2 linked regions of the Xenopus tropicalis genome follow. The protein of the gene in region 2 interacts with the protein of the main gene of each other region in a pairwise test. Links are inferred from orthologs where the notes say so. Each region holds a gene or a part of one and is shown on either strand. Other genes may lie near its edges.

The links. The genes of interacting proteins can lie anywhere in the genome.
Region 1: the proteins of ubash3a (region 2) and fgfr1op2 interact in binary tests that used the Homo sapiens proteins (3 or more experiments, as listed by UniProt). The link is inferred for Xenopus tropicalis from reciprocal best matches to the Homo sapiens genes UBASH3A and FGFR1OP2.

What each region holds. Positions count from the first base shown.
Region 1 is NC_030679.2:2,582,704-2,586,983, reverse strand, and holds the start of fgfr1op2 (FGFR1 oncogene partner 2 homolog), read right to left. Parts: upstream 2,801-4,280; 5' UTR 2,697-2,800; intron 1-2,696. UniProt on the Homo sapiens protein: May be involved in wound healing pathway.
Region 2 is NC_030678.2:150,459-153,958, reverse strand, and holds part of ubash3a (ubiquitin-associated and SH3 domain-containing protein A), read right to left. Parts: intron 3,229-3,500; coding exon 3,030-3,228; intron 2,632-3,029; coding exon 2,462-2,631; intron 1,994-2,461; coding exon 1,785-1,993; intron 1-1,784. UniProt on the Homo sapiens protein: Interferes with CBL-mediated down-regulation and degradation of receptor-type tyrosine kinases. Promotes accumulation of activated target receptors, such as T-cell receptors, EGFR and PDGFRB, on the cell surface.

The DNA.
Region 1 (4,280 bases), on a different chromosome or scaffold from region 2:
AGTGAGGGTGCCAGTCAGTGAGTGAGTGTATGTAAGAGTGAGGGTGCCAGTCAGTCAGTGAGTGTATGTAGGAGTGAGGGTGCCAGTCAGTCAGTGAGTGTATGTAGGAGTGAGGGTGCCAGTCAGTGAGTGAGCGTATGTAAGAGGGAGGGTGCCAGTCAGTGAGTGAGTGTATGTAGGAGTGAGGGTGCCAGTCAGTGAGTGAGTGTATGTAAGAGGGAGGGTGCCAGTCAGTCAGTGAGTGTATGTAAGAGGGAGGGTGCCAGTCAGTCAGTGAGTGTATGTAAGAGTGAGGGTGCCAGTCAGTCAGTGAGTGTATGTAGGAGTGAGGGTGCCAGTCAGTCAGTGAGTGTATGTAAGAGTGAGGGTGCCAGTCAGTGAGTGAGTGTATGTAAGAGGGAGGGTGCCAGTCAGTGAGTGAGTGTATGTAAGAGTGAGGGTGCCAGTGAGTGAGTGAGGGTGCCAGTCAGTCAGTGAGTGTATGTAGGAGTGAGGGTGCCAGTCAGTGAGTGAGTGTATGTAAGAGGGAGGGTGCCAGTCAGTCAGTGAGTGTATGTAGGAGTGAGGGTGCCAGTCAGTCAGTGAGTGTATGTAAGAGGGAGGGTGCCAGTCAGTCAGTGAGTGTATGTAGGAGTGAGGGTGCCAGTCAGTGAGTGAGTGTATGTAAGAGTGAGGGTGCCAGTCAGTCAGTGAGTGTATGTAAGAGGGAGGGTGCCAGTCAGTGAGTGAGTGTATGTAAGAGTGAGGGTGCCAGTGAGTGAGTGAGGGTGCCAGTCAGTCAGTGAGTGTATGTAGGAGTGAGGGTGCCAGTCAGTCAGTGAGTGTATGTAGGAGTGAGGGTGCCAGTCAGTCAGTGAGTGTATGTAGGAGTGAGGGTGCCAGTCAGTCAGTGAGTGAGTGTATGTAGGAGTGAGGGTGCCAGTCAGTCAGTGAGTGTATGTAAGAGGGAGGGTGCCAGTCAGTCAGTGAGTGTATGTAGGAGTGAGGGTGCCAGTCAGTGAGTGAGTGTATGTAAGAGTGAGGGTGCCAGTCAGTGAGTGAGTGTATGTAAGAGGGAGGGTGCCAGTCAGTGAGTGAGTGTATGTAAGAGTGAGGGTGCCCAGTGAGTGAGTGAGGGTGCCAGTCAGTCAGTGAGTGTATGTAGGAGTGAGGGTGCCAGTCAGTCAGTGAGTGTATGTAGGAGTGAGGGTGCCAGTCAGTCAGTGAGTGTATGTAGGAGTGAGGGTGCCAGTCAGTGAGTGAGTGTATGTAGGAGTGAGGGTGCCAGTCAGTCAGTGAGTGTATGTAGGAGTGAGGGTGCCAGTCAGTCAGTGAGTGTATGTAGGAGTGAGGGTGCCAGTCAGTGAGTGAGTGTATGTAGGAGTGAGGGTGCCAGTCAGTGAGTGAGTGTATGTAGGAGTGAGGGTGCCAGTCAGTGAGTGAGTGTATGTAGGAGTGAGGGTGCCAGTCAGTGAGTGAGTGTATGTAGGAGTGAGGGTACCAGTCAGTGAGTGAGTGTATGTAGGAGTGAGGGTGCCAGTCAGTGAGTGAGTGTATGTAGGAGTGAGGGTGCCAGTCAGTCAGTGAGTGTATGTAGGAGTGAGGGTGCCAGTCAGTCAGTGAGTGTATGTAGGAGTGAGGGTGCCAGTCAGTCAGTGAGTGTATGTAGGAGTGAGGGTGCCAGTCAGTCAGTGAGTGTATGTAGGAGTGAGGGTGCCAGTCAGTGAGTGAGTGTATGTAGGAGTGAGGGTGCCAGTCAGTCAGTGAGTGTATGTAGGAGTGAGGGTGCCAGTCAGTGAGTGAGTGTATGTAGGAGTGAGGGTGCCAGTCAGTCAGTGAGTGTATGTAAGAGGGAGGGTGCCAGTCAGTGAGTGAGTGTATGTAAGAGGGAGGGTGCCAGTCAGTGAGTGAGGGTGCCAGTCAGTCAGTGAGTGTATGTAGGAGTGAGGGTGCCAGTCAGTCAGTGAGTGTATGTAAGAGGGAGGGTGCCAGTCAGTCAGTGAGTGTATGTAGGAGTGAGGGTGCCAGTCAGTCAGTGAGTGTATGTAAGAGGGAGGGTGCCAGTCAGTGAGTGAGTGTATGTAGGAGTGAGGGTGCCAGTCAGTGAGTGAGTGTATGTAAGAGGGAGGGTGCCAGTCAGTGAGTGAGTGTATGTAAGAGGGAGGGTGCCAGTCAGTGAGTGAGTGTATGTAGGAGTGAGGGTGCCAGTCAGTCAGTGAGTGTATGTAGGAGTGAGGGTGCCAGTCAGTGAGTGAGTGTATGTAGGAGTGAGGGTGCCAGTCAGTGAGTGAGTGTATGTAAGAGGGAGGGTGCCAGTCAGTGAGTGAGTGTATGTAGGAGTGAGGGTGCCAGTCAGTGAGTGAGTGTATGTAAGAGGGAGGGTGCCAGTCAGTGAGTGAGTGTATGTAGGAGTGAGGGTGCCAGTCAGTGAGTGAGTGTATGTAAGAGGGAGGGTGCCAGTCAGTCAGTGAGTGAGTGTAGGAGTGAGGGTGCCAGTCAGTCAGTGAGTGTATGTAAGAGGGAGGGTGCCAGTCAGTGAGTGAGTGTATGTAAGAGTGAGGGTGCCAGTCAGTGAGTGAGTGTATGTAGGAGTGAGGGTGCCAGTCAGTCAGTGAGTGTATGTAGGAGTGAGGGTGCCGGTGAGTGAGTGAGTGAGTGAGGGTGCCAGTGAGTGAGGGTGCCAGTGAGTGAGGGTGCCAGCCATTGCCCGTACTTACCCTGTCACCCCACAAGCGGCAGATTCGGTCCCAGAGCTCCCAGCCCTTCCGTTTCCGCCCTGGTCCCGTCAGTGAAGCCAAACTCAGCTGAAACCGCAGGTGACGCTACGCGCATGCCTTCTGAGAACCTGTCAAGGACGTCACTTCCGGTGCAAAGGGCCGCCCTGAATATAATTCCGACTGGAAAACTGTATTTCACAGACGTTTCGCTGCTAGAGGTCCGGCTCCCTACAGCGCAAAGCCCTCTTGTAGCGGATATTCGCTCACAGTATCTTCCTGCTCATCTATTAAATTAGCCAATCACTGTATCTCCAGGCGATTAGTGCCCGCCCCCCTGGATAAGATCTACTAAAAACAGAAAGCGGCAGGGACCAAACAGCATGAAAGGGCAAAACGTACGATTAATGGGGTAGCGATGAGCTGCTCAGGCCTGTGACGGGAGGTGAGTAGGGAAGGACACAGGGGTACCCAGGGGCACCCTAGGACTTGTGGGACGGGAGTGCAGGGGGGGCAGGATTTGGGGAGTAGAACTGGGAAGAGAATTTGAGGGAAATGGAAGGTGGGGGGGGGGGGGGGTTCTACAGTTCATGAGTCTGAATAGTATGAGAGGTGGGAGCTGCCCTACTGCTTGTGTAGCCCCGGCACCAACATGTCTTCTCTCTCCCTGTAAGGTCAGAATGGTGAGAAAAGGAGACACCCCAGGTGCATCCAGACTCCCTGCATCTCGTCTGTAACGGCCATTGTGTTCCCCCCATCCCTGCATCACCCCAGCCCAGGGGGCAAAGGGTAAGTACCATGGATATGAAATATATACTGCACTCCATAGGTACAACTGGTTACATTGAATTGTAAGCTCACTGGGACTGAGGGGAATGTGATGGGGACCTTAGATTGTAAGCTCACTGGGGCAGGGACTGATGGGAATGGGATAGGGACCTTAGATTGTAAGCTCACTGGGGCAGGGACTGATGGGAATGGGATAGGGACCTTAGATTGTAAGCTCACTGGGGCAGGGACTGATGGGAATGGGATAGGGACCTTAGATTGTAAGCTCACTGGGGCAGGGGCTGATGGGAATGGTATAGGGGCCTTAGATTGTAAGCTCACTGGGGCAGGGGCTGATGGGAATGGGATAGGGACCTTAGATTGTAAGCTCACTGGGGCAGGGGCTGATGGGAATGGTATGGGGCCTTAGATTGTAAGCTCACTGGGGCAGGGACTGATGGGAATGGTATAGGGGCCTTAGATTGTAAGCTCACTGGGGCAGGGGCTGATGGGAATGGGATAGGGACCTTAGATTGTAAGCTCACTGGGGCAAGGGGCTGATGGGAATGGGATAGGGACCTTAGATTGTAAGCTCACTGGGGCAGGGACTGATGGGAATGTGATAGGGACCTTAGATTGTAAGCTCACTGGGGCAGGGACTGATGGGAATGGGATAGGGACCTTAGATTGTAAGCTCACTGGGGCAGGGGCTGATGGGAATGGGATAGGGACCTTAGATTGTAAGCTCACTGGGGCAGGGGCTGATGGGAATGGGATAGGGCCCTTAGATTGTAAGCTCACTGGGGCAGGGGCTGATGG
Region 2 (3,500 bases):
ACAAGTGACAGGGGCCCTACAGAGCCCCCATTGCTCCTGTGCAGGCAGGGATTCTGGGTAATATGGAGGGGAGGGGCACAAAGTCTTATTTCTCCCATGGTGCTATGTGTCCCACATTGGCCCCCATTTCCTCTTAAAGTGCCTGTGAGAGAGTGTGAGTGAGTGTGTGAGTGAGTGTGTGTGTGTGTGTGAGTGTGTGAGTGTGAGTGAGTGTGTGGCTGTGAGTGTGAGTTAGTGTCTATGAGTGAGAGTGTGCATTTGAGAGTGTGTGTCTGTGAGTGAGTGTGTGTTTGAGAGTGAGTGTGTGCCTGTAAGTAAATGCGATTGAGTATTTGAGTGAGTGTGTGAGTGTGTGTTTGAGAGTGAGTGTGTGTCTGTGAGTGAGTGTGATTGAGTATTTGAGCGAGAGAATGAGAATGAGTGTGTGAGTGAGAATGAGTGTGTCTGAGTGTGAGTGAGTGTATGCCTGTGAGTGTGAGTCTATGAGTGGGAGAGTGTGTAAGTGTGTCTGTGAGTGAGTGTCTATGAGTGAGTGAGTGAGTGTGATGTAGTATGAGTGAGTGTGTGTCTGTGAGTGAGTGTGATTGAGTATGAGTGAGTGTGTGTCTGTGAGTGAGTGTGATTGAGTATGAGTGAGTGTGTGTCTGTGAGTGTGATGTAGTATGAGTGAGTGTGTGTGAGTATGATGTAGTATGAGTGAGTGTTTGTCTGTGAGTGAGTGTGATTGAGTATCAGTTAGTGTGTGTCTGTGAGTGAGTGTGATTGAGTATGAGTGAGTGTGTGTCTGTGAGTGAGTGTGATGTAGTATGAGTGAGTGTGTGTCTGTGAGTGAGTGTGATGTAGTATGAGTGAGTGTGTGTCTGTGAGTGAGTGTGATGTAGTATGAGTGAGTGTGTGTCTGTGAGTGAGTGAGTGAGTGAGTGTGATTGAGTATGAGTGAGTGTGATTGAGTATGAGTGAGTGTGTGTCTGTGAGTGTGATGTAGTATGAGTGAGTGTGTGTGAGTATGATGTAGTATGAGTGAGTGTGTGTGAGTATGATGTAGTATGAGTGAGTGTTTGTCTGTGAGTGAGTGTGATTGAGTATCAGTTAGTGTGTGTCTGTGAGTGAGTGTGATTGAGTATGAGTGAGTGTGTGTCTGTGAGTGAGTGTGATTGAGTATGAGTGAGTGTGTGTCTGTGAGTGAGTGTGATGTAGTATGAGTGAGTGTGTGTCTGTGAGTGAGTGTGATGTAGTATGAGTGAGTGTGTGTCTGTGAGTGAGTGTGATTGAGTATGAGTGAGTGTGTGCCTGTGAGTGTGATTGAGTATGAGTGAGTGTGATTGAGTATGAGTGTGTATGTCTGTGAGTGAGTGTTATTGAGTATGAGTGTGTATGTCTGTGAGTGAGTGTGATTGAGTATGAGTGAGTGTCTGTGAGTGAGTGTGATTGAGTATGAGTGTGTATGTCTGTGAGTGAGTGTGATTGAGTATGAGTGAGTGTGTGTCTGTGAGTGAGTGAGTGTGATTGAGTATGAGTGAGTGTGTGTCTGTGAGTGAGTGAGTGTGATTGAGTATGAGTGAGTGTGTGTCTGTGAGTGAGTGAGTGTGATTGAGTATGAGTGAGTGTGTCTGTGAGTGAGTGTGATTGAGTATGAGAGAGAGTGAGTGTGTAAGTGTGTCTGAGAGTGAGTGTAAGTGAGTGCCTATGAGTGAGTGTGTGTCTGTGAGTGAGTGCCCATAGAAAGGAAATTAGATTGTAAGCTCCCTTGTCTCCCCGATAACCCCACTTGGTGCCCCTGGTACCGGTGCTGGGTCCAAGTCTGAGTCTCGGGCACATTCTCCAGGTAATTCTCCGGTACCAGCCCATGACAGCCGGTTCGGTTGGACACGGCCATTACCCATCCCTCTGGCGCCCCCGACACTCGGGTCCGATCGACGAACACAATATCCCCCTCCGTGAGTGTCAGCTCATCGGGATTCTGTGGTTCAAATGGGAAGAGAGTGCGCAGGGTCTGGGGGGGACACAAGAGAGGCCGTATTGTCCCCATGTCCCAGCATGCCCTGGGGCTGATACCCCATATTAGGGAATGAGCCCCAGGGTATCCTGTTGCCAGGGTGATGGAAATACTCTAGTCATGGGCGGGGCCAGGGGTTACTGAACTATTTTTTTTTCTTTTTTCATGGGAAACAGAGACGGTTCCCCCCAAACCTATTGAGCCCCCCGACTCCCCCACCCACGGCGCAGTTCCAACAGGGGGCAGCAAAATGCATTTGGGCCCAGTGCCCTTTCCTGACTTTCCTTTTTTTTTGGAGAGTTACACCTACTTCCTGGCACTGCTGGGGGGCAACAGTGTGCAGAAGAGCTCACAATCTGTAATTCCCTGTAATTGCCTAGGAATTGCCCCAAATCCTGACTCCTGCCCTCCAATGCCCCCACCCCTTCTGAACTTACCCCTTGCCCCTCCCCCTGCCCCAAATACCTGATAGTAAGCAAATCGCATGTCTCTGGAGAAAAGGACCGCCTCCCACTCACAGCTCTGGGCGGGGCTGATGGACTTGGCCAAGTGCTCTAGTGTCCCCTGGTGGTGGGGCGAGAACTTGTGAGCGAGAGTGAGGTGCAGCTGCTTGGAGAGCGGTCTCACCGGACAGTCTGAAGTAGAAAGAGCGTCAGCTGAGTGGGATCAGAGAATAATCCCTATTGGCTGCTGGGAATAATTTAACTATTGACATTCTGCGCTGAAACCACTAATAACCGTACCCTTCCCACCCCCCCTCCCTCCCCCACAACGGAATTCATTGACTCCCCGGAGTGATAACCAATAGCACAGGGGAATGTATTTCCTGCGACTCACATGTCTCTACTTCCTGTCTGGCAGGGAATTAGCCACTCAGTATCACTTTATGGCAGGAAATCCATGACTTTGTTGTATTGACTCTCAGAGCAGAAGATAAAAGCCCCCAGAGGGGGTAACATTGTTCTACCAATAAATGGGTCCCTCAGGCCCCAGTGGTACCAGGAAGGGCAAGATGTGCCCCCAAAGGCCTTACCTGCCCCCTTTGCCACCTCCTCAGAGAAGCTGCCCATGAAGCTGCGGATGATGGAGGCCTGGGCCTCGCTGATAAAGAAGCCAATGAAGGAGCTGGAGGAATAGAGGGAGAGGGTGATGGAGCGAGGGAAGGAGCCGCGGGTTTCTTCTCCGGCCGCTCTGAGCGCCCAATGTAGAGTCTCCACCTTCCGATCCTCACACTGCGCAGGGGAGGGACAAGATGGCGGAACGTCAGTCCTCAGCGTTTCCTCACGGAAACCAACCCCCACAGATACTGCAGATCCCCCTCCTCGTAGCCAATTACTGAGCCGACTGTAACTGCAGATCCCCCTCACCGTAGCCAATTACTGAGCCGACTGTAACTGCAGATCCCCCTCCCCGTAGCCAATTACTGAGCCGACTGTAACTGCAGATCCCCCTCCCCGTAGCCAATTACTGAGCCGACTGTAACTGCAGATCCCCCTCCCCGTAG